7 linked regions of the Ovis aries genome follow. The protein of the gene in region 5 interacts with the protein of the main gene of each other region in a biochemical or structural test. Links are inferred from orthologs where the notes say so. Each region holds a gene or a part of one and is shown on either strand. Other genes may lie near its edges. The genes, in order: STAT3, NCK1, HBEGF, SHC2, EGFR, PTPN11 and SH2D1A.

Region 1 (3,500 bases), on a different chromosome or scaffold from region 5:
GTTGGGCTGTAGGATAGGGGCAAGTTTAACTTTTCAGGAAACTGCCAAACTGTTCTCTAAAAGTGGTTGCCATTCTACTGCCATTACATGACACATTTGCTTATTCATTTAAAAAATCTTAATTAATTAACTTATTTACTTATTTATTGCCTGTGCTGGGTCTTTGTTGCTGTGCTCAGGCTTTCTGTAGTTGCGGTGAGCAGGGACTACTCTCGAGTTGTAGCTCACAGGCTTAGTTGCCCCTCAGCATGTGGAATCTTCCCAGACCAGGGATCAAACCTGTGTCCCCTGCACTGGAAGGCAGATTCTTAACCCCTGGACCACCAGGGAAGTCCTTGCCTATGCTTTTAAGATACATCTAGAATTTATTCTGATGGTCAGTTTTTTTTAGTGAGAAGGTGATTTTTTATGCTAATTCATGGTTAAAGTCATTAATTTTTGCTTATTCATTTATAAAACCTACCACCTTCCTCAAGTCCCTGGCTGCATAACTATTTTCTAGTTCATTCTCATGGAATTTCCAGATGAATAATTATATCACCTACATTTTCTCTTTCCTAATGTCTTCAGAGGGTAAGTGCATTTTAATTTTTTAAAAGGTACTGTCAAATTTGGAAGAGGATTCCATTATGTGGTAAAGTGTGGAACAACAACTAAAATCAATTTTTCCATATATTCTCAATTTTACATAATAGGCACAAGTTACATTTATAAGTGAAAAAACAAAGAAAGAGGGACTTGAGGTCACAATGGCAATCACAACTCAAATCGCTACCGCCAGCTTCGTGGTTTTGTTCAGGCACGTAAATGACAATGTACAGCAAGGCTTTTGAAAACTTGAAAAAAAAACCCGAAGATCTCTGAATATAGATAAAGCCTCTAAGTTCACATGATGTCTATCAAAGTTCTCGTTTCTCTGTCCCTCATTTGAAGAAAAGGAAGAAAAAAAGGAGCTAAGATAAAGAGTACTTACTTGTCAATGCACACTTTAATTTTAAGTTGATAATTTAGCTCAGGGAATTTAACCAGCAATCTATGTCAAAAAAAAAAAAAAAAAGAGGAAAAAAGTTTCAGAGCAAAGGAAAAAAAATCCAGTTTTAAAAAACAGCCACTAGGTTCCCCCAGCAACTTCTAGTTGAATCTAAAATTCATAACTCTTCAATTCTAAAGAGATGAATCATAATCCCAAATTTTTCTTCCTGCCAGTGCTTCCTTTCATTTTAAGCCAAGCATCACCCCCTTCAGGCCAAAAGGGACTGAAAAAAAAAAGCCTAAGAACTAAGAACTTGGACAAAGTTATGAGAGACACACAAAAGGATAATGAAAGCCATATCATGAAAAACATTACAGGAATACATGCTCTGAAATCGGTATTCTTTCTATTAGACCGGAAACCCAACAGCGTACTACCTTTCTGAGGAGGGAAATTTCACTGCAGAAGGGCAAACCCCAGCTTACCTGTTCTGACTTGAATGTGAAAGTAATTCTCTACCTGCAGGTCCCCCACCCACCGGCCCTGTGACCTCTTAGTGTCTACTATCACTAAGCTTTACTCTTCCCCTTCAAATGCTCAGGAAAAAGTAGGCTCAAAGAATAGAAGATAACTGGCATTATTCTGCTCCTTTCGAATGGTACATGGAGATGCTATGACCTAAGACATTAGGCCTGGAATCAGGAATACAGTGCAACCGAATCATAGGAATATATCCAGGTAACCTCAGAGAGATTCCTGTTCTTTAGCGTTTGACAGGACAATCACAGAGCAAGTTGATATTACACCAAAAAATTCCCTATCCATCACAGTACTGCCTGCGACGGCTGTAAAGAACAACTGCCCACCAACTTTGTTCTGGCCCTGAGGGTGTCCCTTGATACAACATCTGCCAGAAGAGGAGGTGCCGCAGCCCACCTGACTTTAGTTGTGAACTGGACACCGGTCTTGATGACTAATGGCCGGTCAGGATGCATAGGCATGCAGGGCTGCCGCTCCACCACGAAGGCACTGGAGGGGACAGAGAAAGGCAGTGGGTCACACAAGACGCAGTGGGCTGGTCCCTGTCCCGTTCCTCGGAAATTGAACAAGCTCTCGTTGAAGAACATTGGTGGGGGAGGTGATGGGGGAAACGGGCAACGGCTCTATGTTACCTTTTCATTAAGTTTCTAAACAGCTCCACGATTCTCTCCTCCAGCATTGGCCGGTGCTGTACAATGGGGTCCCCTTTGTAGCTAACCTTCTGCTGCAGTTCCTCCAGTTTCTTAATTTGCTGGCGGGTCTGAAGCTGAGATTCTGCTAATGAGGTTATCCTGCCAACAGGATAAGGATGTTCTCGGTTACCTAAGTGGTTGTATATAAATGAGCTGGAGAAGGGGAAGGGAATAATACCACAGGTACTCTCATGCAGTCATCCGACATAAGAAAGGAGCATTTTTTTCATTATGGGAATATATGAGTAGCATAACATTGACCATTTCTAAATACACAGTTGAGTGGCACTAGATTAGAAAAGGGAAAATTATTTTGCCCTTTTTGTTTTTTTGGCCATGCAGCATAGTTTGCAGGATCCCCACCAGGGATTGAACCCCGGTCCTGGCAGTGAAAGTAGCAAGTCCTAACTTTGGCCTGCCAGAAGGGAACAGCTACCCACTCCAGTATTCCTGCCTAGAGAATTCCATGGACAAGGAGACTGGCAGGCTACAGTCCATGGGGTCACAAACAGTTGGACACAACTAAGCAACCTTCATTTCACTTCCTAAAAGTTTACTTTTCAAAGAAGGAGGCAGACACAGAGGAAGACGTGCCAAAACTTACACCACTAGGAGTGAGGTAACCAACGGAAAGTTAACACATTAGAACATGAAATATGGGATTTGGTGCTCACTTTCTTCAGCCTAACTTGTTTTTGTACCAAATGTGAGTACTGGGGAAACACAGGATATCTGACAGCCCAAAAAGATAGGTCTGAACAGCTCTGTCCCTCACTGTCTATGCAAGCTTGACCAGGTCCCTTCACCCTCGTGGGCCTTGATATCCCCTTGCCTGAGAGACAGGGTTGAACTGCACGATCCCCAGGAGCCCTCATCTTCCATGGATGACTGGATGTGACATTAGTTTCCAAATATTGATAACATGCATACAGAAAAAGTAGACAGGGAGACAAAGGCTGATTATGTCTGCCCCCAAGGAGGGAGAATATCAGTGGCTCTCTCTGATGGTCCCCCACTAGTTTAGTAAAGACCCCAAAGAGACAGAGTGGAAGGCAAGGGGTGGAGAAGGACAGCACCAGGACTCCTGAGCTCACAGACTCCCTTCTGGCACCTACTGGGTTGGCCAAAATGTTTGCTTGGTTTTCCCATAAGATGTTATAGAAACATCTCAATACATTCCTAGAACTTATAAGTTATTTGGTTCCCTGATTAGAAAGCATTTAAAACTGCTTTCAATCAATGAGCAAAGCTCAGGGTTAGTTAGATGAACAAACAGGCATCTCATGTAGAGCTAT
Region 2 (3,500 bases), on a different chromosome or scaffold from region 5:
CTAATATATGGTAACGATCCACAACTTAAAACTCTTTTATCAAATATAAGAACAAAAAGAGTTTGTTTTTAAAAGCAAATATCAAAATGCAAGCCATTATCAGCTTCCTTATTTAACTTATATGCAGAGTACATCAGAGAAACACTGGGCTGGGAGAAGCACAAGCTGGAATCAAGATTGCCAGGAGAAATATCAATAACCTCAGACATGCAGATGACATCACCCTTATGGCAGAAAGTGAAGAGGAACTAAACAGCCTCTTGATGAAAGTGAAAGAGGAGAGTGAAAAGGTTGGCTTAAAGCTCAACATTCAGAAAACGAAGATCATGACATCTGGTCCCATCACTTCATGGGAAATAGATGGGGAAACAGTGTCAGACTTTATTTTTGGGGGCTCCAAAATCACTGCAGATGGTGATTGCAGCCATGAAATTAAAAGACACTTACTCCTTGGAAGGAAAGTTATGACCAACCTAGATAGTATATTAAAAAGCAGAGACATTACTTTGCCGACTAAGGTCCGTCTAGTCAAGGCTATGGTTTTTCCCATGGTCATGTATGGATGTGAGAGTTGGGCTGTGAAGAAGGCTGAGCGCCGAAGAATTGATGCTTTTGAAGTGTGGTGTTGGAGAAGACTCTTGAGAGTCCCTTGGCCTGCAAGGAGATCCAACCAGTCTATTGTGAAGGAGATCAGCCCTGGGATTTCTTTGGAAGGAATGATGCTAAAGCTGAAACTCCAGTACTCTGGCCACCTTATGCGAAGAGTTGACTCATTGGAAAAGACTCTGATGCTGGGAGAGATTGGGGGCAGGAGGAGAAGGGGACGACAGAGGATGAGATGGCTGAATGGCATCACCAACTTGATGGACATGGGTCTGAATGAACTCCAGGAGTTGGTGATGGACAGGGAGGTCTGGAGTGCTGCGATTCATGGGGTCGCAAATGGACACGACTGAGCAACTGAACTGAACTGAAGCCATTAGATGTAAAATCCATCAATGTATCCTGTAAAATAAGTGACCTTAATGACAAGGAGGATATTCTGCATCTCATTCATTTATCCTCATCTTAATTATATGGAGAATCTGTCTAAACTCCAATAGGTACCTACGGCTCAAGAAGCCCCTGATAGAAAATCAGAGTGAGTTCCACTAGCTAGAGTTACAGAAAATGACCTTCACTGGTCTTTTTGAACACACCTGACTTGAATACCCTTGCTATGAGCCAAACTTACCTTGCCTAGCTGAAATCTCAGCTTGGGATATTCTAGTCAGTTCTGCCCACTGATGCCAAAATTCTACAAAGAACCAATTTCTAGCATTCACTAGAAAGAAAGTATTGCTGTTCTTGTTTTAAAACAAAAATAGCTTACCTAAGGTATCTTTTAGGTTTTTTACAATAGATGCTTTCCGGGCACTGTTTTTCCTTTCCACATAGTTAGAAGGCACAAAACCTGTTTTATTCATGGAATTTCGAACTCGCCACCAGGACTTAGAGTCATCCAGAAGCCACAGTCTCTCGTTCTTCTTGATGTCCAGCTCTTGCTCTTGCTGGGCCACATAATCAAACTTGGCTACTACCACCACTTCCTCTGCCATTGTTCAGCACCTTCTGCACTGCAACCACACAGAAAATATTTTATGTAAGGTTGAGAAGTTGTCCACATGCTTGTCAAGAGAAACACACCTAAGAACCTAAAGTAGTGAATGGTTAAAAAATAAAAACAGGGAAAAAAATTAAATACCAAGCAAATACTAATCAATACAGAACTGGTATAGATATATTAATAACACACAAAAGGACTTTAAGGCAAAGCTATCACTAGTGATAAAGAAAGTCACTATATCCCGATAAAAGGCTGTATTCAATATATGTATGTAACAGCTAAGCTTATGTATACCTATTAATATAGGTCCAAAATAGATTGACAAAACAAGAAAAAAACTGACAAATCCATTGTCATAAAGGTTTAACTTTTAACATATTTATCTCGGTAGTAAATTAAGACGACAAAAAATCAGAAAGGTTAAAGAAGAACTGACATTGCAACTATTAAGTCTGATGCAATAAACATATGCAAATATAACTTCACAGAAGAACACAAACAAGAGTATGTACAAAATCCAATCAAATGCCATAAAAATCTCTACACATTTTTTGTGTACTTGGTATCTTAAATCATATTCTCTGATAATCGTAACAAAGATAACTTTTGAAAAATCTTATAGGTTTAGAAACTTCTAAAAACTGATGTGGAGAAGGAAATGGCAACCCACTCCAGTATTATTGCCTGGAGAATCCCACGGACAGAGGAACCTGGTGGGCTATGGTCCATGGGGTCACCAAGTCAGACACTACTGAGCAAAACAATAACAAACACTGATGAGTCAGAGAAGAAATCTTAACAGAATTTTGAAAATACTTATAAGTAAAATTAAAGACTATACGAATAACTTTGTGTGATGCAGCAAAAGAGGTATATAAAAAAGAGATCTGTAGTTATACATAGTTACATCAGAAAAATAAGAAAAGTTAAAAATAAATTAATGAACAGATCATCTGTTTTCAGTTAGAAAAGAACATAAAGAAAAGCAGATAAAAGGAAATAATACAAATAAAAGCAGAATTTAATGAAACAGCAAAGACATAGGAGAAAGGCTCAAGACAAAGTTAGATGTCATGACTAAAAAATGGATATAGTTCTGACAAGACTAAAAAATGAAAAAAGGAATAGAGAGCCCAGAAATAAACCCACATCTCTATGGTCAATTAATCTTCAACAAAGGAGGGAAGAATATACAATGGAGAAAAGACAGTCTCATCAGCAAGTGGTGTCAGGAAAGCTGGACAGCTACCTGTAAATCAATGAAGTTAGAACACACTCTCATAATACCATACATAAAAATAAACTCAAAATAGCTTAAAGACTTAAATATAAGATATGGCACCATAAAACTCTTAGAATATAAGCAAGATATTCTCTGACAAATCAAACCAATATTTTCTTAGGTCAGTCTCCCAAGGCAATGGAAATAAAAGTAAATAGGACCTAATCAAACTTACAAGCTTTTACACAGCAAAGGATACCACGAGCACAACAAAAAGATACCCTATGGACTGGGAGAAAACATCTGCAAGCAATGCAACTGACAGGGGCTTAATTTCCAAAATATACAAACAGCTCATACAACTCGGTAAAAAAAAAAAAAAAAATCAAAAGAAGACTTACATGCATTTCTCCAAAGAAGACATATAGATGGCCAACATGCACATGAAAAGATGCTCAACATCGCTAAACATCACTAACTATTAGAAAATGCAAATCAAAACCATAATGAAGCACTATCGCACCTTAGTCAGAATGGCAATCATTGAAAGGTCTACAAATAATAAATGCCAGAGAAGGTGTGGAGAAAAATCCTATACTGTTGGTGGGAATGTAAATTGGTGCAGCCACCATGAAAAACAAGATAGTTTCCTCAAAAATAAAATAAAATAAA
Region 3 (3,929 bases), on a different chromosome or scaffold from region 5:
GGCAGAGCCCCATGGACTCCTGCAGAATTATGGATGGGGAGGGAGAGTGGAACAGGCTGTGTATAAATAGCAGGCCTGTTTTTATCCCTACACATGGGCTGAAGCAGGCAAGCAGCTCTATCTGGCACAATTTGAGGGCTCTGAATGCCAACCCAGCCTTGTGTCATATAACTCCCGCCCCAGCATGTCCCTGGGAGCTGAAATGCCTACTGAGAGAGTTATTTCTTTGGGTTAGGACATTGACTCCAGAGGACTTCTGTAAAAATACATAGATTGGAAGAGAAACACATCAATCTCCTGGCACCTGTTGAAGGTGGCAACCTAGGCCAGCCAGCTGGGTCCTGTGAGAGGGGGCTCAGCTTTTCTGTTGAAGAAGATGGCATTCAAAGACAAAGAAAAGTATGAAGCTTTTTCACAGCCTGTGTTTCTTCAATCCCAGAAGCCTGGGAATTATAATCCAGAGTTCAAAAATCCTAAAGGAGACTATGTCATCTGGGACAAAGATGGAAAGAAGCCACTCCGGTGGATGAAAGAATACTAACTTTCTTTGCTTTTTCTGGGTTGATACCAGATGACTGCAGCTGCAACTCTGGTAACCTTAGGCTTACGACACTTGCTGGCATTCATGTGTTTAATTTTTAAGTGATAAATGAATTAATTATTATTTGCTCCTTGATTTGTGGGTAGGCAAAGAAGCAGGTTTCTGAAACTCAGAAGAAGACATGGGCGGAGGTCTCTGGTTTAGAGCACGGATAACCAGAGGGACCAGGCCTGGAAGAGAAGCAAGAACGAGGGGTGTCCAAAGGCGAAGCGCAGCTCAGCGGTCACAAGGCTGCCGCGGCGGACCAGCATTTGGGGAAAGGTAGGAACTGGTCCCCGCCACCTGCCGGTCAGCAGCCCTACCCACAGTCAGGCCGCGGCTACACTGGCCTAGTCCCAAAATATGTGAGCGCCGCCCCTTTCTCCCGCCCCCTTTCCCCGCCGCGCCCGCGGGGTCGGGGGCTGAGCGGTCGGCGCCTGGAGCCCGGCCGGCATCCCAGAGCGGGAGGGGGGAAGGGGCCGCGGGGGGCGGGGCGGAGCCTCGGCGCCTCCTGGAGCCTTATTCCAGGCTGCACGCCGAGAAGCGCTCAGTCGACCCAGGGAGCTGCGCGCGGCAAGCGGCTGGCTCTGTTGCTTGAGGCACCAGGGCTCGGGCGGTCGGACAGACGGAGTGAATAGAGAGACGCCCAGCGGCCGGGAGCTCCGCGCAAATCCCAGGCAGGCTTGCACCCAGAGGCCAGCAGCCGACCGTGCCCGCCGGGATCTCCAGAGATTCTCTCGCCCGGCTCCCGTGCCAGCGTCCGGTGGCCGCCGCCCCCCAAAGTGATTGCTGCCTCGCCTCCTCCGCCGAGTCCAGGACCATGAAGCTGCTGCCGTCGGTGGTGCTGAAGCTCTTTCTTGCTGCAGGTAAGCGGGCTGCCGCCGCTCCCGGGGGTCTGGGGGGATGGGGACTCTCTGCTGGGGGCACAGGGGAAGATCGCTGCAGCGTCCCCGGCGTGAGCCACTTGGTGGGGCCCGTGCTCCCTGGCTGGCTGGAGCCGGCCGCGGTGCATGGCTACTGGGGTCTGGGCTGGGGGTCTGAGGCGGCCTCGCCCCTTTCCCGCAGTGCTTTCGGCGTTGGTGACTGGCGAGAGCCTGGAGCGGCTTCGGAGAGGCCTGGCTGCTGGAACCAGCAATCTGGACTCCCCTACTCAATCTACGGACCAGCTGCTGCCCGCGGGAGGTGCCCAAGGCCGGGAAGTCCTGGACTTGGAAGAGGCAAACCTGGACCTTTTCAGAGGTGGGTGTGGGGGCTGCCCATCCTCGGACCCTGGTGATCAGTTGAACTATCATAGAATCTGGTATTTATGCCGATTGGGCACACCTGTGGTTTGGGGCTTTTCAAGAGAGGACTTCAAGGAAAAGCCTCTTGGCCTGACAAGCTCCCTGGGGGATCCTAGAACGTAGGTCCTGTTGTCTTTCTTGCCCTCCGGTCTCACATGCCACATTGCTGCCCTTCTGCATACTTGGGGGCAAATTGAGACAGGCAAGGTGCTTGGGTTTTGTGTGTTCTTCTCTGAGGTAAGCTGGGTGACAGGAACAAGGACTGGTTGAGATGCTTTCCCTAGAGTTTCTATGTAAAAATGTGCACAAGATCTAATTTCCACATTAATTGACTATTATGTATAAAATCACAGATGTGGAGATGCTAGGCACATACAAGGTGTGCAGGATTAGTCTCCATCCACCTGTCTCCAGGTTTGGGAAACCGTGGGGAATGAGGAACACTTGGTCCTGCCAGGTGAGGCCAGCACTCTTGGGGAGGCTGTGAATGGTGAGCACTGGAACCCTAGAGAGCTGTTTTGATATGCTGGGTGTCCACAAGTCCTTCACAAGGCTGGATACTTCCTGACCACTTGGAGACCCTGAGAAGGGCTCCAGAGGAGGAAGGGCCAGGTGGGATCCTTCAACCAGCAAAGGTGCTGTGGCCAAGTACATACAAGCACAGGGCAGAGTCCAGAGGCTCCAGTATTGCCTGCTTTCCTGCCCCCAGTCACCTGCAGAGATTCTTGAGGGTGGAGCTGGGACTGAGCCCTGGAGCCCTGGAATGACTATATTTGGTTGGAAAGATACCCACCTGTTCTAACTCCGCCTGCTTCTCTGCCACGCTTCTTTTTCCTTACCCAGGGATTCCCTTAGGTGCTGTCCACGCCAAAGCTGAGGCTGGGCTCTCACTTTCCATCCTCTCACAGTAGCCCTCTAGGGGGCGGGGGTCACCCCTGCCTGAACAACCTGGATTCTCCTGGCCCTCTCCTAGGCAGGGCAGAGCTGGGCTGTGACTCACTCTCCACCCACACAGCTGCTCCTCATACCTCGCAGACCTGACTCACTGCTCTCTCTCCCCAGCAGGAGCTTGGCTGTCACCCTGTCACTCTCTCCCTCCCTTTTCTGATTGGCTTGTTCTTCCTGCCTCAGTTTTACCACAACTGTGGTCACTAATTTCCTCGGACCATGTGCCTCTTCTGAGTTCTGAAGGGGCCTGGGTATGCACTGTAGGAGCAGGGGACTATGGGACTATTGGCACCTGTCTCTTCTCTTTCCTCAGGTTTGCTGGGCAAAGACTATTTTTCAAGTCTAGGGATCCTGTCACCTGAAATAAGTAACTGTTACCATTTACTAAGTGTCTCCTGTCTTCTAGTCACTTAACATGTTATTGTGAATTAATTAATCCTGCTGCAACCCTCTGAAATAGGAAAGCCTGTTCACTTTTCACCAAGAACCCCAAGGTTCAGAGAGATTAAGGGACTTGCCCAGGATCACATGACTGTAATTCGAGCACCATTCTGCTGACTTCAGAGCCCATTCATTGTCTGGTTCCTGGCTCAGCATCCCAGGTGCTCTGGGCTTGTCTGGAGGAGGACACTGCTGGGGTGTATGAGGCAGCTTAGTGTGTTGGGGAAGAGTGCTGGATATGGAGTCCAGAGACCACATTTCAGATCCCAAACCTGCATGATCTTGGTCAAGTCACTGCCTTTTGGGACCTCAGGTTTTTCATCTGAAAATGGAAAGCCATATATTTTGAAGTAAATTCTACTTCCAGAATCCTAAGCCTTCAGTCTAATAATGTATGATGTTCATCCCTCTGCCAGACATGTGCCTATAGCCATAGACAGCAGGCACCTTTTCTTCTGCTGGGACAGGGGAGGGAAGACTGGCGTCAGACCCCTGGGCTGATGGGCATAGCCCAAGGTCAGTCCCAGCTGGATGTCTGTGTGAGATTGTTTTTCCCCTTTGAAGCATGGAAAGAATGGAGAGAGCCATCATTGTTCTAGTTCCTTTTGATAGTTCTTTGCTCTCCGTCTTTCTGCCTCTTGGGCACCCCATCCTAGAAAGCAATAAACAGGACATCT
Region 4 (4,269 bases), on a different chromosome or scaffold from region 5:
TGGCTGCAGAGACTGAGGCTCCCAGGGGAACAGAGCCGGACACTGGGGCTGATTCAGACTCCCCACCTGTCCCCCTTTCAGGGCAGCCACATCAGGGCTCATCTCCAGCACAGACGCTGTAGCCCCTCCTCCCCACCCCCACACTGCCCTGCTCCAGGGCATCTCCCAACAGTGCCCCCAACAGTGCCCCAGCACCCCCTGGCTCTCTCTGCTGCCCTGCCAACCCCACCCCAGCCCACTTCCACAGGAAAGCTCCTTTCAGCACCAACGCTGCTCTGTGACCCTGCCTAGAACCATCCAAAGCCAAGCTTGCCCACACAGCCCCCAGATCTTACTCCTGTGCTCCTCTCTCTGCACCGGCCCCACCACATGGGTCTCCGGCCAGTCCCCAAACCTGCCAGCTGAGCCCCTGCCTCAGATTCTCTTTCCCCAGTTGTTTCATGCCTAGGGCCTCCGTGGCTTTAGGGCTCAGCCTAAATGTCATCTCTGAGGGGCACCCCACCCACCAACCCTGCTAAGAGCAGCCAGCAGTCTCTGACATCACTTGATTGGAATTTCTGCACAGCACCTGCCAATATCTGCCACTTGCCTGTTGTTTGTCTATCTCTTGTTTATTTACCATCAGTCTCTCCCTCTAGAAACCTGAGCCCCATAAGAGCAGGGATCAGATGGGTGGGCCCCATTTCCTAGCATGCCATCAGCACCTGGCAGGCTCTGGCATGCATTATTAATAAATGTCTGCAGCATCGATGGCAACGTCCAGACCACTGGAACAGTCCAAAAGCCTGCACCCCAACAACATGAGCATCTGAATTCTGAGCACTTCTAATCCCCACAGCCACGGCCTCCAAGGGGATGTAGTGGGAAGCCCAAGGCATTGCCTGGGAAACATCTCGCTACAAAATCAGTGTTGAATCCAGCGAAGCTGACATTCAGCAAAAGAAGGGACCATGATCAAGTCAGAAGACTCCAGGAGAGAGGAGCAGGTCTAGAATGTGAGGCAGCCTGAGGCCTGCTGGCCAGTCCAAAGCTCTTCCTTTCTAACCCACTCCCAGGGAAGCAGCGGGCCTGTCTGGACCACACTTGGACGTGCAGAAAGTCAAGGCCACTGAGAGCCTCAACAAAGCACCACAAACTGGGGACTTAAAACAACAGAAATGTAAGCCTGGCCCTACAGTTCTAGAGAGGGGAAGCCAGGGATCCAGGCATGGTGGGGGCCCTGCTCCCTGAGGGGAGGGTACTTCCAGCCTCTTCCAGCGTCTGGCAGTGGCGCGCGGCCACCCTGGACGCCCCTTGATTTGTGGGTGCGTCACTCCATTTCTCTCTTTGTTGTCACGGGGCCCCTCCCTGAGCGTTTGTGTCCGAATCTCCCTTTTCTTAGGAGGATAGCAGAGATCGCAGTAGGGTCGCGGTACTCCAGTGTGACGTCATCTTAACTCGATTATATCGACAAAGACTCCATTTCCACATAAAACCATATTCTCAGGCTCAGAAGGTCAGGAATCTGAGGAATACTAGTCAACCTAGTATGGGGTGGGTGGAGGGAGGCTGTAAAAGAAGCGAAGACAAAACACCACACGCAAAGACACAGGACTCCAGGATCCTGGTCCCCAGCCCAGACTGAAACGCTGTCAATATACATCGGACTCTGATGTGACAACGAACTGTGGCTGGGCGGAGTGGCCGGTAGCCTGGGGCGTGAGGAAGCATTTCACGGCGAGGCATCCCACGGGCCGCTCGCCGCTTCCTGATGGTTCATCAAAACTACCCACAGAGGCAGACGTTCATATAAAACCAGGACAAATAAAGACCTGCTTCTCTGCAGCGCCTTCCGAGGCCCCGCGATCTCTCACTTGGAATTAGGGACCTAGCGGGGCTCGGCCCTTCTGCACCCCACGTTGCCCACGGTCTCCGACCCTTCTGTCTAGAGGGAGTTTTCAGTGGGGATCTGGGTACCCGGCCGCCCCCACCCGCGTCTTCCGTCCCCAGTCTCACCCAAGAAATGGGGGGCTACGCCTAACCTGCGCATGCGTGCCCCCCTCCCACCAGCCGCCCTCTCCCCGCCCCTCCCCACGTGACGCCGTGGGAACCTGGACCCCAGCGCCTCCTGGATTGGGGTGGCCAGCAGAGCACGGCGTGGCAGTTGGGGTCTAGGGTGAAAGCGAGAGGAGAGATGGACAGACACCCGGCTTCCCGGGTCCAGAGTGTCCAAGAGAGAGAAGTGGGGGATGGGAACCCCCGCGTCCAGACGGAGGCTCGGGGGAGGACGCGGTCCCAGGGTCCCGCCGACGCACTCACCCTAACGACGTAGGAGACCCCGGGCCCCAGAACCCTGGCGTCCGGGTGTAGCCAACCGTGCGCTGGCTTGTGGATGAAGCTGCCTTTGCGGATCCAGTCGTCGGCGGAGGCATCCGGGGGCCCGGTCGCCCCCCGCGCGCCCCGCGGTCCCCGCACCCCGGCGGCCCGGCAGCGGCTGAGCGCAGGCAGCGGGCAGGGCGCGGCGCAGCGCGGCTCGCAGGCGCCCAGGACCGCGGCCGCCAGCGCCGGGACGCCGGCAGGGCTGGCCGGCTCGGGGTCCGGGTCGGCGGCCCCCGCGCCCCCCGCCGCCCGCGCCGCCGCGGGGCCGCGGCTCAGGAAACCAGCGGGGGCCGCAAACTTCCACTGCGGCATGCGAGGGAGCAGCGCGCAGAAGGTGGTGGGCGCCTCCGGTTCTGGGGCTGCGGGGGGCGCGGGGGCCGCGCGCCCGCCGGGACCCTGCGTCATGGCCGCGGCCGCCGGACCGAGCCCGACCGGGCGCTGCGCCTGGTGCGGAGGAGGCCCTCCCGCTCCCGCGCGTTCGCTCCCCGCCCCCGGCCCGGTGATGTCATCCGTCCGGCCCAGCGCGCAGCCGCGGGGGGCTGCGCCCCTGGGACCACCGGCCCTCGGCGCCCCGGTGCCCGGCGGGGAGACGAGAAACTGAGGCCCGCCGGAGGCACGGGGCTAAATCGGGGTCTGCAGCCTGGGAGGGAGCGAGGTTTCGAACCCAGCACCCGGGCGGTGGCCCCTTACTTAGCCCCCCACAGGTCCCCCAAGTTCCTAAAAGGACGGAGGTGGGAGGAACAGAAATCTCCTTTCTTCTCTTTTCGAAAGGAGGAAATTGAGGTCTGGAGAGGAATGGAGGCTCAGTCAAGGCAGGAGAGCGCCCCGGACCCCCAGGTCGTCCCCCTCCCTTCCCACTGCTGCTGACGGAGGAGGTACTTGAAAATCAGGCCCTGCTAGATTTTGTAACTGGGAACCTGAGATCAGCGAGGGGAAGGGGTGTGCTCTGGGGCACACAGCGCACACTTGGACCCAGTCCGGCTGGCTGCGTCCGAGCGAGCCGAGTCCCCGCTACGCGGCCTCGCCCTGGGCCTCAGTTTCCCCGGCTGTAAGCCGGGGGAGCGGACCAGAGGGTCTCGGGCTCCTCCTGCTGCGTTTCTGCCGAGCCGCTTCCAGCGTCCACCCCACAGAATCCCAGGACCCAGCCTCCAGGACGGGGGCTGGCCGGTCCCCCCGGCCTCTCCAGCCCCGCCCCGTGCTGGGCCGGCTGCCGGGAAACAAAGGGAGGGGGCCGGAGCCGGACCCGGTGGGGATGGAAGCAAAGGAGTGGTGAGGCCGCGCGAGACCGGATCGATAAATTAGAGTGGTGAGATCACCGCTCGGCAGCCGCCCGCGGGCCGGGGGAGGAGGCTGGGGATGCGGGCCGGAGGCTCGCGCGCGCGCGGCCGTGATTGGCCGGCGAACGGGGCGGGGCGGGGGCGGGGGTGCGGCGGGAGGCCTGAGCCTCCAGCCGGGAGAACTATTGTGCTCCCGCGGCCTGGGAGGGGCGTGGCCCTGGGTCAGTGAGGGGGTCGGAGGACGTTTGTTGGGGTCTGCAGCCCCCACCTGGGCTCTGTGCTGTGTCTCTGTTGCGGACTACAGACTTACAGACTAGTGGACTGTGTGAGAGTTGCATTGTGTGTATATTCTGTGCGGATGTGACTGTGTGTGTGTGTGTCTGTGTGTGTGAGAGAGGAGGGAGTCTGGGTCCCCGTCCAGGTGTGTGTTGGGGGATCCTGGTATGTTTACCGTTGTGTGTGTAGGGGTCCTGGTGTGTACACAGGTGTGTGTGTAGGGGTCCCAGTGTGTAAACAGGTGTGTGTAGAGGGGCTCCTGGCATGTGTCCACCTAGTCTGGTGAAGGGTGTGTGTTGAGGTTTGGCACCCAGGCTGGGGAAGAGGGGCCAAGTAGGAGAGAGCTGACCCCCAACTC
Region 5 (4,263 bases):
ACAGCATGGGAATGAGGACACAGGCTCCTGGCCTTCAGGCCAGTACTGAGTGGGCATCCTCTGGTCTCCTTAAAGAAAGGGAGGCTTCACCCTGGATACGATTCAAAATCCCCAAATTTGTTCTCTTTTATACAGCCCAGATCTACTGAGCCAAGGATATCATCTGAGGAGGGGCCGGGCCGGATGGCCTAGCTGAGAATACCATGAACGATCACTTCTGGAGCAGCACCTTCCCCTTTCTGTTTTTCAAAAGCAAGGAGCTTGCTCCACATTCCTCCAGCAATCTCCACATTCATCGCTCACTTTGTGACAGAGTTCTTCCACAAAAGGAGCCTCCTGAGCACGGGGAGAAGGAGTCCAGACCATGGGCAGGAGGCTTCCTCATCCCCAGTGTTCTTCCTCCCTCTGCCAGCATCCTACATCACACACACCGACAGAGCTCCTCTAAAACCAGAACAACAAATCAACACAGGCAGCACCCAGGGAAGGGCTCCAGGGTCAGAGGGCCAGAGTTTAAAAATTCAGGTAAACAAACAAACATCTGCCTTTTGCAAGCTGCGGGAAAGTCACTTTACTTCTTTGTACCTCGGTTTCCCCACATAGAATGACAAGAGCCAACTTGTATGGTTGATGTAAAGATTAAAAGGACATTTAAAACGGTGTCCGACAGGACCAAGTGCAGTGAGAACAAAGGACACTGTATCTTAGAACCAAAGAAGCCTCTCTAAAATGAGTAAATGTTCTAGAATAAAACTTACCAAATTTGATCAACACAGGTCTTTAACACTTGCTGTTAATAATTTGCCCCGTACATTTTGGTCTTCTGACGTTACTTTAACATTTGTTCACCTACTCTCACTATCGTATTCAGAAGCATTCTGTTTTGAACAAACATGGGACTAACAGGCAATTTAAGTGGTATTTATATATTTCTTAGAAAAGAATCTTTAAGCATTAATAGTAGTGTTCAGAAGGGTAACAGCAAAGAGCTGGGAACATTTCTGAAATGAGAAAAGTGATGCTTCGGAGGCACTCCAAGGGTTTAAAATAAGGATGGGGTCCCCTTGCCACCTGCTTTCAGGCGGGAATCCTGTTGTCAACAGATTCAGGAGCTGGACCACAGCCTGGGACTCAGAGGAGGAGAGACTTTCATTGAAAAAACTAATTTCTTTTTTAAATAAAATCATCATTCTCTTTCCTTTGCAAGATTGTTAAAACTCCAGATGTTCCCAAAGAGCTTTTTACATTGGCAGCAATCTTGCCAGAGATTTCACCTCTGTTGCCAGAGATTTCCAAACTTGACTGCCTAGCAGAATCACCTGAAGAGCTTTTAAAAATTCATACAATCAGGTCTCAACCCAGACCAGTGAAATGACAAAGTCTGGGGGTGGGAGCCAGACATCGTTTTTCGTTTGTTCTGTTTCAAATCCCAAGTGATTCTAATTTGAAACAAAGTTTGGGAACCACTGCTTTATGCCTTAGCGCTCCCGCATCAAACTCGCTCAGCACCATACCCTGTGCCAATGACCTCAACAGCAAGTACAGACCTGACTCTCGGAACCCAAGCTGCTCGATCTTGAAATTGGGCAATTAAACCTTCTGAGGCATGTTTCTCATTTCAAGTGGGTTTATGGTCGGCAGTCACGAAGCCAGACTCGCTCATGTTGGGTCTGGATATTTGGCACACGTGAATCACGGACATCAATTTTTTTTATTTAAATTAAGTTTAATATTTTGGTTGGCTTAATGTCAAATTCTTCAAAACTAGAAAACACATCCCAGACACAAAAATTTCTGGATTTTGAGGAGGAAAGCTTGCTGTGAGCCCTGTTTTGAAACCATGGAGAACCAGCCAGGATGGGTTCCCCCCTCTGGGGCGTTCGCACCAAGCCCCGGCTGTTTGGCCACGGCCTGTCCCACCCTCCGTCCCATCCACCTCGAAGCCGGGACACGCGGCCCACGGGCTGCAGGTGGGGGCGAGTCTCGGGAGTCCCGGGAAACCACCACTCAGGAGAGTCCACCGCCGGAGGGGCGCGGACGGCGGGGGCAGCTCGGGCCGCACCCGGGTGTGGAGGCGCCGTGCGAGCCGCCCCCTGGGGCCAGCGGGTACCTCGGCCCTCGCTGACTCGCAGCACAGGTGGCCGGTGCCCGGAACGAGCTTCCGGGCCTCCAGGTTAAGGCAGCTCTGGGAGGATGGCTCCCCGGCTCGGGAGCCTGACCGGAGGCTGGGCGCGGGTGCGGGGACGGGCGCGGAGGGCCGCTCCGGTCCTGGAGGTCCGAGGGAGCGAGGTGGACTCCGTGTCCCCCCTCGGCCCCCGGGCCGGGCAGACTGTGGGCGCACGTGCTGGGACGCGCTCGCCTGGGCGTCCAGCCCGCGGAGGGCAGGAGAGCAGAGGGGAGAGCCGCGCTGCGGGCGCCGCGGCCCGCCGCGCCCCGCGCCCCGCGCCGGAGGCTGCCCCGCCGCCCGGAACCGAGACGCGCATTCCTCCGCAGCCCGGCGGAAAGCGCGGCCGCCCGGGACGGGAAGGACGGCGGCGCGGGCGTCCTTACCTTTCTTCTCCTCCAGCGCTAGACTCGCCGGGAAGTGCGCGGCCAGCAGCACCAGGAGCGCCGCGCGGCCCGCCCGCGAGAGTCGCATCGCGCCGGGCTCCGCACTCGGTCGGGACGCAGCGGCCGCCGTGCGCTGGTCTCGGCGGCGCGGGACACGGCGGCGCGGGACGGACAGGGCTCGCGTGGGGCCGCGGGCGTGCGCACCGAGCCGGGGCGGAGGCTGCGCGCTGCGCCAGCCACCGGGACTTCTGGCTCGCTGGGGCGGAGGCGGGGGCGGGGGCGCGGGGAGGCCGGGCTGCAGGAGGAGGGCCCGGGAGGAGGGGCGGACGGCGCGCCTGGCCGAGGAGGAACCCGCCCGAGGAGCGCCGGCCGGCAGGACTAGGGGCGGCGGACAGCGGCTGCCCCAGGAGCCCGGTGTCCAGGAGGGGCCGTGAGGAGCCGAGCCGGGCGTCCCCCGCGGACGCGCCTGCGGTCTCCCTGATCCAGCCTTCTTCGAGCCACTTTTGTGCCGAAGTTGCCTTTTCCCCCTCTTTCTCCCTCCAAGTTGCGGAGCAAACTTGTACTAACTCCAGGCAAACTGGCTGAGCCCTAGGCCCAAGGCCAGATAAGGGTGCCTGGGGGGAAACCACCGCTTTGTTCCGGCACCCAACTCCTCTGAGCACCCTGGGATCTCAGTGGGGATCGAAAGTGGCCTAGCAGCTAAGACGTTCGTTAGCCGCGCCCTCGTGGCTGGGGTGGGTGCCTGGCCTCTGAGATGCGCTCTCCAGCCCGAGGGTCCTTCAGGTCGCGTCAAGCACCCTCGAATTCAAACGAAACAAGGACACCCAACTCCTGGCAGAGACTAGCCTTGGAAAAATGTTTGTTGAATGAATGCGTGGACACCGAAGGAGTATGCCAGGGTTCCATGAAGTAAATCGCTTCAGAAAGTCAAAGCGCTTAGAATAAAGGCTTAATATAAATACTAGCTAGATGCCCATCCGCCCAGAGACACCACGGTGTAACTCAAGCAAGAGAAAGACAGAGAAACCCACTAAGGACTGGGCAGGAAGAAATTAGGCTTTCTCAGGCTGCAGGATCTTTTTAGCTAAATTCCTTCAGCAAAGCCCACCCTAACCTACTGCTCCTCTTCCTCCTGGACAGACTCCTCCACCCTCTACAGTCAGACTCCTTTTCTTCACAAGAGCCACTGTGACATTCAGGTGGTTTAGTTCTGGACTCCCTGATATTTAAGCTGGAATCACAAACTTAAAATAAGTGGAGTTAGAGCAGGATCTTTCCTATGGGGAGGAGCAGACCTTGCATCTTTCCTTCCCAGGCAGCAAGTCCATGGAACCTGGGGCTCCTGGAAATTTAGAGTTATTTGTGTTTATTCCTTCATTTTAATGAATCAGGATGACCACTCAGCCTGTTGAACTCATCCAGCCCCTGGATGAAGAAGGCTGTGTAGATTCTGCAGGCCATGGCTTCAGTCCCCTCCAAACACTCCAAGCAAGGACTTAAAGTGGTTTGTAAAAAAACAGCCACAGGAAAGCACCGTCTGCTAGAGAAGAGCACGGGGCACATAGCAGTGGGCATGGAGTGCAGCCAGGGGTACTTCTCATAGCTGACCTGCTCACAGAAGTTCCAGGCATGTACTCCACGAGGGCCACAGATTGAGACCTAAGCCTTTGTTGAGGAAACATTTATGCAGTAGCATGGATCCATTGTCCATTA
Region 6 (3,500 bases), on a different chromosome or scaffold from region 5:
TAATACTGTAAATGGAAGTTAACAAAAGAAATCAACTTCCAAATAAACAGCAGAGTGTGAGATCGGTATATAAAGACTGGAAAATTTTCTCAGTCTTGCTCATTTGCATTTCCCCTAGATTCCCACCTCTGTTTTGCATTTCCTCCTTCCAACGCTGCCTTGGTGTCTCTTCTTCCCTTACCCTGCTCTCCACCTCTGACTGTCATTTTCTTTTTTTCCATTTATTCCTCTGTAGCAGTCTTTTACTCCCAAAGGTCCTTAATGCTTCATATTAATAATTTTGGAAATACCTGGATTTCAGCATAATTAATTATGCTGAATGAGTTTTGTTCGTTTGCTTAATCTAAAAATCAGATGGGTGTAATATTTTTAAGTCTGCCACTGAAACCTACTAAATTAAAGTACTTCCTACTCTAGTCCCAAATCAAGTAGCAAGTTCCTACATTGAATCAAACAGTATATTGAAAGAAACAACATACCACAAAATCTACTTTATTTCTTTTTATTAGTGGATTTTTTTTTTAATTTATTTTTTGCCCCACTCTGGCATGCGGGATCTTAGTTCCCTGACCAGGGAATCAAGGCTGTAACCCTTGCCTTAGGAGCATGGAGTCTTAACAACTGGGATCACCAGGGAAGTCCCCACAAAATCTAATTTTAAAAACACAAATACAATCTTAGCCTACATATTTTTCTTTTAAATCCAAAGGTTCATATACCAAATAGCTAATGCGCTGACACATAATGGCACTGACAAGTATTGGCTGAGTGGACGAATACACATACTCATTCGGTACTCTTGGGATGGGATTCCTGGGGACATCCAATTTCTATAGTCTACATTCTGCAATATTTAAGTGATTCTACCTCCCCTACCTCTCATCCCCAACAAAAGGGCAGCAATAAAGGTATTTTGGTTTTAACTAGTTCCTAAATCCAAATTACAACTTCAGATTTAGGGTCAGAGGGACCATATACGGTAAGTAACAGGAAGACGTGAAGTGCCAGATAAGCTGGGAGGGAAAGTCCCTAAATTCTCCAAAACCAAAGCTTCTGAATGAAAGAGAGAGCTTTTCCCCCAGCTTTTCTGAACAAGACGACCTTATGGTCTTCAAAATATTCCCAAGTAATTTCCCATCTGTACCAGTGGTACTGCATTCTACTTATTAGAAGTCCTTCTTTTGAGGCAACTTCATGCTTTAAGTAAGTACTCCTGGCCCAAATCAGGAGTGTGATTTGGGAAGGTGAATATGAAATAGCCTACAGTAACCATCTAAAGGCTTCCTGGTGGCTCAGACAGTAAAGAATCTGCTTGCAATGCGTAAGACCTGGGTTCGATCCTTAGGTCGGGAAGATCCCCTGGAGAAGAGATGGCTACCCGCTCCAGTATTCTTCCCTGAGAATTCCATGGGTGGAGGAGCCTGGTGAGCTACAGTCCATGGTGTTGCAAAGAGTCAGACATGACAGAGAGATTAACACTTCTAAGTTCTATTCTAAGTTCATAGCACTTACATTAAGACAACAACCTAAAGCGGTAAAGTTCAAAACCACAGCAGAGCTTGTTAATCATTTGACCATGCCTTTCTATATCCACACTGTTTCTGAAGACGTTTTTGTACAAGGAAACAACCTAGTGAGTATTTGTGCATGGACTGAGAACCTGCTGAACTAACTAACTCGGGCTAACCACGCTTTGATAACGTGGCCGCTGCGCTGCTAGGCTAGAAGCCTTTCAGTAAGGTTGTAGGTCCCCTTTTTGAGAAGCTGAATTTTCCAGAAGGTGATAAACAGGGTAAAGAAGGCAAATACCACTGTTTAGATATCACATCTATCCAGTGAGCAGCACGGTGATGGGGCTGGGGTTGGGGGTGGGCAGTGAGCTAAGGACAGCTCCCAAAAGAGCAGTCTCCTCAGTCCTCAGGAACTCAGCTTTGTGTGTTATAAAGAGCTTCCAATGGAAAGGCTCCAGTGCCACACTGTTCATTATGTATGGCTTATTAAAAATGGAAATGTTTCTGTTTCCAACTTGACCACACTGGTGGGTCCAACCCTCATGTGCTATAAAGAGTAAGGCATTCATTTAAGAGATGGAATCAGGATGAATAAGGCCTGGATCAAAACTGGAACAGGCTGGAAACTTTGAGGCTTGGAGTTCTAAGCCTACCAGGTGAACCTGGGGAAATCCCAAACCCATCTGTCAGGCTTGTTGCCCCTCCCTGAGCTACGCCATAGTGAAAAATCAGAGTTGTGCGGTAGGGAATAATTCATTTCCAGAGAGGTCCTTCCTGGTTGGGAACTTGTTTCTCCTTTTCAGATAAAGACAGTTATCTAGCAAAGCCTGTATTCTCTCTCAGAAGGAGAGCATATCCAAGCCAAGCTGTCCAGAAAAAAACACCAAAAATCTACATGTCAGCCGTGTAGGCTTGGTACCTGCTCTTCTTCAATCCTGCGCTGTAGTGTTTCAATATAATGCTGGACGGCCATATAGATGAATCGGTACTGTGCTTCTGTCTGGACCATCCCTGACCTCTGTGACCGCACCATCTGAATGGTTTTGGGAACGTCGATGTCACAGTCGACACCTACAAAGCAAAGCACCACGGAGCATCAGGAGAAACTGCAGAGACAAGGTGAAGCAGTTTAAAGCACAACTTTGAGCAGAGATAAAGCAAATTTACACGTTCGTGTTTTAACCGAAGCTGTTCTAAGGGCTACGGCATTGGCCTTCTGACCAACAACAACGATCCTAGAAGATTATAGGGTCAGGGGTCGGCAGTGAGGAACCCCACAGGTTACACCACCACCCTGTACCATCAGCAAAGAGCGAGCAGATGGACAGAGACCACCACTCTCCTAGGCTGTGTTTTATGCCAAAAGCTCAAACAGCATCACTTCTGTTCTTGGGCAAACACATTGAAAGTTGAAGTCTCTGGCCTAGATTTTTGTGAAAATACTTTAACGTTCAATTTTCTTCTGCAGGCTATTTTCACTAGCACTTTCCTTGCATAAACTGAAAACAGGAATCATAGCTTCTTGCCCTCCAAATGACCTACCTTTCTCTCTGATGATGTCAATAAGAATATCAATCACAATGAACGTCCCTGTCCGGCCAATTCCAGCACTGTGGGCAGAAGGACGAAGAGCGAGGACAATGGAGTCATTCATGAGGGTTTTATGCTCAAAACCAAGCTATTAATACTAACCGAAACAATGTCTGCTCTTGGGAGTATTTATAAGACTGTCTATTTATATTTGCGAACATATTAGCAAACAGCCCAGGGCTTTGGACTCAGTCCATCCTGCACTTGGAGCCCAGCTTCTCCAGCACGGTGTGCCTGAGGCAAATCCCTTAACCTCTCTGACCCTCTGTTTCATCATCTGTGAAATGGGCTATTGTGAGTATCAAATATCAGTAATGGGTGAAAAACAACTGATGCAGATGCTGGTATGGAGCAAGGGCTCAATAAAAGGGAGCTTTTATAGAACTGAATAAATAATGT
Region 7 (4,212 bases), on a different chromosome or scaffold from region 5:
CTAAAAAAGAGGAAATGAAATGTTTACGTTTATCAGAAGGGATCCTTGGCTCAAAAAAAAGCTGAGAAACTGTCATAAAAGGCACTGTATCATTGTGTCTTCCCTCTGCAGCAGTCTGGCCATTAGCCTCTAGGACTTGGAGGCCCAGTGTGCCCACTGAAAGATATGTTAGGGGGACTCCCAATTTGCCGACTATTTTCTGCTACTTCATAAAAAGGTTTGCATGGAGAACCTACAGTCATAAAAACTGCATTTAGGCAAGATTCACTTTGGACAAAAACTTAATCTGCGAATTTCCCATCTGTCTAAGTTAATTCCTTACGTGGCCCTGGCCAATTTGAGTAATAGGCTAAGATTATCCTTCTCTCTTGCATCTTTTACCAACTATAATCTTCTGCAGAAGATAGAGCACACATTATTATTCTTGTTTTAGAAATATGGAAACCAAGACCTACAAAAGTTGAGTGATGTCCCAGAGGCCACATCCTGGCCTCCTGATATCAGCCCAAAAGCCTACTGCCATAAAGAATTTGCCTTGACAGTTCATTCATTAATTCAGAAACATTTATTGAGTGCCTGTTGCATGCCTCATGATACCTGTTGCATGCCAGGCTGTGTTCCTGGTGCGGGAGATGGTGTCTCTGCCCCAGAGAGATTACATTGTAGCAGGAGAGCCCAGCAAGACAAAAGTAGACAAGCAAACGTCAGACAGCTGAAAGCTCCCAGAAGAAAACTAAAGTGACAGATTATAACTGGGACAGGGAGAAGGGACTTATTTTAGAGGCTAGTCAAGGAAGTCCTCTCTGAGAGAAGAGGGAGAAGGAACAGTTAAGTGTGAAGATCCTAAGCAAGGAGCAGCTTGGCAAGCTCGAGAAACAACAAAGAGGCCAGTGCGTCTGAAGTCTTAGGAACATCCTGCCACACACTGTCCCCGGCTCTTCCTTCCCTTCCCAGGCCTTTTGTACCTTAATTTTTACCTCTAGGTTGAGGGTCCCATTACCTCCTTTGGTGAGCTTTCCTAAAGAAGCTCCTCTCACCAGTTCACTCACTCCTCCACCTTCTATTGATAAGAAAAGAGCCTAGGAATACGAGTTGGCTTTCACTGACCTACCCCAGTTTTCACTTTCGAGAAACAATAATATAAGGAAAACCTAAAATCTGAGCCCAAGGGATTCACTAGCTTGCACATATATCCCTTGTAGCTTTTATAACAAACGTTTTTAGCATGGCCTGAGAGTTGCCACAAATATGCCTTGCCCATTTAAAAATAATACAATAAACAATGAAAATCCTCTAACACCAGGCTCAATACAATCTCTCATCAATGACCTAAAGGAACTTCAAAATCTTGCCATGTATCATCAGACACCAAAATTACAACCAAGCATTTTCCCTCATTTTGTTTCTGTCTAGAAGCTACTGTACAGGGCTGCTGCTTTCATGAGTGTTTTTACCCTGCTAACAAAGAGTGATTGAGCTAGGGACTTCCTTAGAAACACCCCGTGAGTACTTAAAGATATTGACTGAAATATATATACATTTTATATATATATATAATATATTATAATAAAAAGTACTGAAAGAGAGTGAAAAAATAATAACAACAACAGCTTACTTTTACTGAACACTTAGTATGCATCAGGTCCAGTGCTAAATTTTCTACGTGCATTACAGCATTTAATGCTCAGTCCTATGAGGTAGGTAGTAATATTACACTTTTTGGACAAGAAAACTGAGGGACTGTGAGGTTAACTTGCCAAAGCCAGCATCAGACTAGCACAAGATTAGGTCTTAGCTCTGCCTGACCCTGGAGCCCTGGAGCAAAGATGAAGGTGCATCTGATTCAAAATGGGGCTTTAGACCAAGAGATGCTTAGGTAAAGGGCAAAGCTGAATCATACCAGGGTGCTTTCCCTCCATGTCCTTTACGACTATTGTCTCTCCCAGCGTTTATCACGGAAAGGCCCTATTTCTGAAACCCCACCCCACCCCCCTCCAACTCCTGTAAAGAAAGCTAATTAAGCAAATCCAGAGAGGTGGTTTTATTCAGAAACGTCCCTCTCTCCCACATCCTGACCTAACTGGTATTGCTGTCTTAAAGGATTCCATTTCTTAGTCTTCTTCCTCTCCTTGAATTTGAAATCTTCCTTTGGGAAGATACCTTCAAAGCCATTGCCAGAGGGCTGGAGAGAAAGGCCTCTCCTCTGAGGAGCTGGTGGCCCTATATCTGGCCATTCCCTCATCCCAGGCCTCCACCTTGCTGGCCTCTACCAGAGGTCCAACCTGAAGCCAGGAGCCTGAGTCCTTTTGGCAGCAAAGGTAAATTCTAGGCTCCTTTTCCTCCACTGCAAAGAGCATTCCTACAGCCGCCCCCAAAGGCGCTGGAGAAGACCCTCTGAAGAGCAGGAAGCCCAGGCGAGACAACCCCAGTGAGGGACGTGAGCCGCACGGTGGGCAGTGGGGGCTCCAGGGCCCCGTCATGTACTCACAGCACACACAGACAGTACACGCCGGGAACACTCTCGCTGTCCCTCAGCAGATAGCTGCCATCCAGGCCCGTGGCGAGCAGGAGCTTCTCCCCCGTCTCCCGGCTGATCTTGCCATGATACACAGCCACCGCGTCCATGGCCAGGGGACAGTAGCAGGGAAAGGCCGCTGTTGCTGCTGCCGCCGCAACCAGGCACGACTCAGCCACCTGCCTCCCTGTTCAGCCAGATGTTCAAAAAAGAGAAAGGAGCGCCCCAACAACAGGATGTTGTCTACCTGCCTCACAGCCTCCTTCTCGCACTTCAGTGAAAACCAGGTCAGCAGTTTAGCAGCTTGGCTACTGCCCTAGGGTTCAATTCCCCCCTCCCCTCTCTGCTCCGCCTCTGCCACAAAAGGGTTGGGGTGGATGGATGGACAGAGAGGGGAGGACTATTGGAAGAAGGTCCTTGCAGGATGTGGCCTGTGCTCCCAATGCATGCAGACACGAATGCCTGGTAATGTTTCTGTCCTTGTAGTTTTCCCAGGAAGGCCACCCTGACTTAGCTTAAATAGTCCCCAAAGGGGTTAATGAGACAGGGAAGCCGTGTTGATCTTCATGTGGGGCAGAAACATACTGACAGAGAATGAAAGGCCCAAAAGCTCTGAGACCAAAACACAGAGGTCATCAGTATTGTCAGTGGGTGATCCCCACTGAGCACAGGCAGGAGGCTCCTAGGGAATCAGAGGCAAGAAGTGAACAGCGGACTTGGGATCCACTGCCTCCCCTCCCCAAACCCTCCCCCTTCTCTTTGACTCCTCCTAGTCATCTCCAGCAATCTTGATCCTGAACAAATCAAACATTTCCAGGCTTCTTGTCCAAGATCCCAAAGTGCTGGTTGAGGTACAAAAATCAGTCTGTGTCCAAAGATGTTCCAGATGTATCTATTTGATGGGCCTTAGATGAGAGAATAAATCATTTCATTGGTGTTTTGCCTTCATGCGGACTTGTCTGTGCCTTTTGACATACAGGGCCTACCTTTTAGCATTTGGGACATCAAACTTAAGTCCATTGTGAGTGTTGATAATTGCGTTGTATCTTTTATCATCTGTAGTTAGTAGAGAATATGGTTTTTGTTCAATTGATGCTAAGCTATCAAATTTTTTAGAACCTTTCAACCTTTGTTTCCTTCTCTCTTGTATTTCAAGATGTGCTGTTAAGTAATATTTCCCCCAAACTTCCTCATTTTTCACTAGAACGAGACCTTGTTTAATGTTTGAAGCTGAATGCTCTTCTACATTTTTTCTTTTGAGTGTGTAACATACTTTTCTTTTTCTTTTTAGATTGTTTTTGATGTAGACCATTTTTAGTCTTTATGGAAGTTTTTATAATATTGCTTCTGTTTTATGCTTTGGTTTTTTGGCTGCAAGGCATCTGGGATCTTAGCTTCCCATGCATGTATGCTAAGTCGCTTCAGTTGTGTCCAATTCTTTGCAACCCTGTGGACTGTAGCCCACCAGGCTCCTCTGTCCATGGGATTCTCCAGGCAAGAACAGCGGAGGAGATTGCCATGCCCTCCTCCAGGGGGTCTTCATCAAACCCACACCCCCTACATCAGAAGGTGAAATCTTATACCACTGGACCACCAGGGAAGTCCCTGTAAAATACTTTTTAAAATTAAAATTTAAGTAGCTGAAATTATGTTGTCTGTTGTGTCTCTTCAACAATGTCACACCTAGTTCCTTGAGA

What was found.
Region 1: the proteins of EGFR (region 5) and STAT3 form a complex in vitro, tested with the Homo sapiens proteins (2 studies listed by BioGRID, with this or other methods). The link is inferred for Ovis aries from reciprocal best matches to the Homo sapiens genes EGFR and STAT3.
Region 2: the proteins of EGFR (region 5) and NCK1 form a complex in vitro, tested with the Homo sapiens proteins (2 studies listed by BioGRID and IntAct, with this or other methods). The link is inferred for Ovis aries from reciprocal best matches to the Homo sapiens genes EGFR and NCK1.
Region 3: the proteins of EGFR (region 5) and HBEGF form a complex in vitro, tested with the Homo sapiens proteins (2 studies listed by BioGRID and IntAct, with this or other methods). The link is inferred for Ovis aries from reciprocal best matches to the Homo sapiens genes EGFR and HBEGF.
Region 4: the proteins of EGFR (region 5) and SHC2 form a complex in vitro, tested with the Homo sapiens proteins (2 studies listed by BioGRID and IntAct, with this or other methods). The link is inferred for Ovis aries from reciprocal best matches to the Homo sapiens genes EGFR and SHC2.
Region 6: of the proteins of EGFR (region 5) and PTPN11, one has a biochemical effect on the other in vitro, tested with the Homo sapiens proteins (4 studies listed by BioGRID and IntAct, with this or other methods). The link is inferred for Ovis aries from reciprocal best matches to the Homo sapiens genes EGFR and PTPN11.
Region 7: the proteins of EGFR (region 5) and SH2D1A form a complex in vitro, tested with the Homo sapiens proteins (2 studies listed by BioGRID and IntAct, with this or other methods). The link is inferred for Ovis aries from reciprocal best matches to the Homo sapiens genes EGFR and SH2D1A.

What each region holds. Positions count from the first base shown.
Region 1 is NC_056064.1:42,164,038-42,167,537, forward strand, and holds part of STAT3 (signal transducer and activator of transcription 3), read right to left. Parts: intron 2,305-3,500; coding exon 2,146-2,304; intron 2,003-2,145; coding exon 1,910-2,002; intron 1,034-1,909; coding exon 974-1,033; intron 1-973. UniProt on the Homo sapiens protein: Signal transducer and transcription activator that mediates cellular responses to interleukins, KITLG/SCF, LEP and other growth factors. Once activated, recruits coactivators, such as NCOA1 or MED1, to the promoter region of the target gene.
Region 2 is NC_056054.1:252,892,419-252,895,918, forward strand, and holds part of NCK1 (cytoplasmic protein NCK1), read right to left. Parts: intron 1,617-3,500; 5' UTR 1,599-1,616; coding exon 1,373-1,598; exon of another isoform or gene 1-1,372. UniProt on the Homo sapiens protein: Adapter protein which associates with tyrosine-phosphorylated growth factor receptors, such as KDR and PDGFRB, or their cellular substrates. Maintains low levels of EIF2S1 phosphorylation by promoting its dephosphorylation by PP1.
Region 3 is NC_056058.1:49,205,813-49,209,741, reverse strand, and holds the start of HBEGF (proheparin-binding EGF-like growth factor), read left to right. Parts: upstream 1-1,129; 5' UTR 1,130-1,400; coding exon 1,401-1,446; intron 1,447-1,645; coding exon 1,646-1,819; intron 1,820-3,929. UniProt on the Homo sapiens protein: Growth factor that mediates its effects via EGFR, ERBB2 and ERBB4. Required for normal cardiac valve formation and normal heart function. Promotes smooth muscle cell proliferation. May be involved in macrophage-mediated cellular proliferation.
Region 4 is NC_056058.1:40,808,936-40,813,204, forward strand, and holds the start of SHC2 (SHC-transforming protein 2), read right to left. Parts: upstream 2,801-4,269; 5' UTR 2,764-2,800; coding exon 2,299-2,763; intron 1-2,298. UniProt on the Homo sapiens protein: Signaling adapter that couples activated growth factor receptors to signaling pathway in neurons. Involved in the signal transduction pathways of neurotrophin-activated Trk receptors in cortical neurons.
Region 5 is NC_056072.1:1,092,638-1,096,900, forward strand, and holds the start of EGFR (epidermal growth factor receptor), read right to left. Parts: upstream 2,801-4,263; 5' UTR 2,639-2,800; coding exon 2,551-2,638; intron 1,893-2,550; exon of another isoform or gene 1-1,892. UniProt on the Homo sapiens protein: Receptor tyrosine kinase binding ligands of the EGF family and activating several signaling cascades to convert extracellular cues into appropriate cellular responses.
Region 6 is NC_056070.1:61,907,378-61,910,877, forward strand, and holds part of PTPN11 (tyrosine-protein phosphatase non-receptor type 11), read right to left. Parts: intron 3,122-3,500; coding exon 3,054-3,121; intron 2,583-3,053; coding exon 2,431-2,582; intron 1-2,430. UniProt on the Homo sapiens protein: Acts downstream of various receptor and cytoplasmic protein tyrosine kinases to participate in the signal transduction from the cell surface to the nucleus. Positively regulates MAPK signal transduction pathway. Dephosphorylates GAB1, ARHGAP35 and EGFR.
Region 7 is NC_056080.1:108,291,088-108,295,299, reverse strand, and holds the start of SH2D1A (SH2 domain-containing protein 1A), read right to left. Parts: upstream 2,801-4,212; 5' UTR 2,626-2,800; coding exon 2,489-2,625; intron 1-2,488.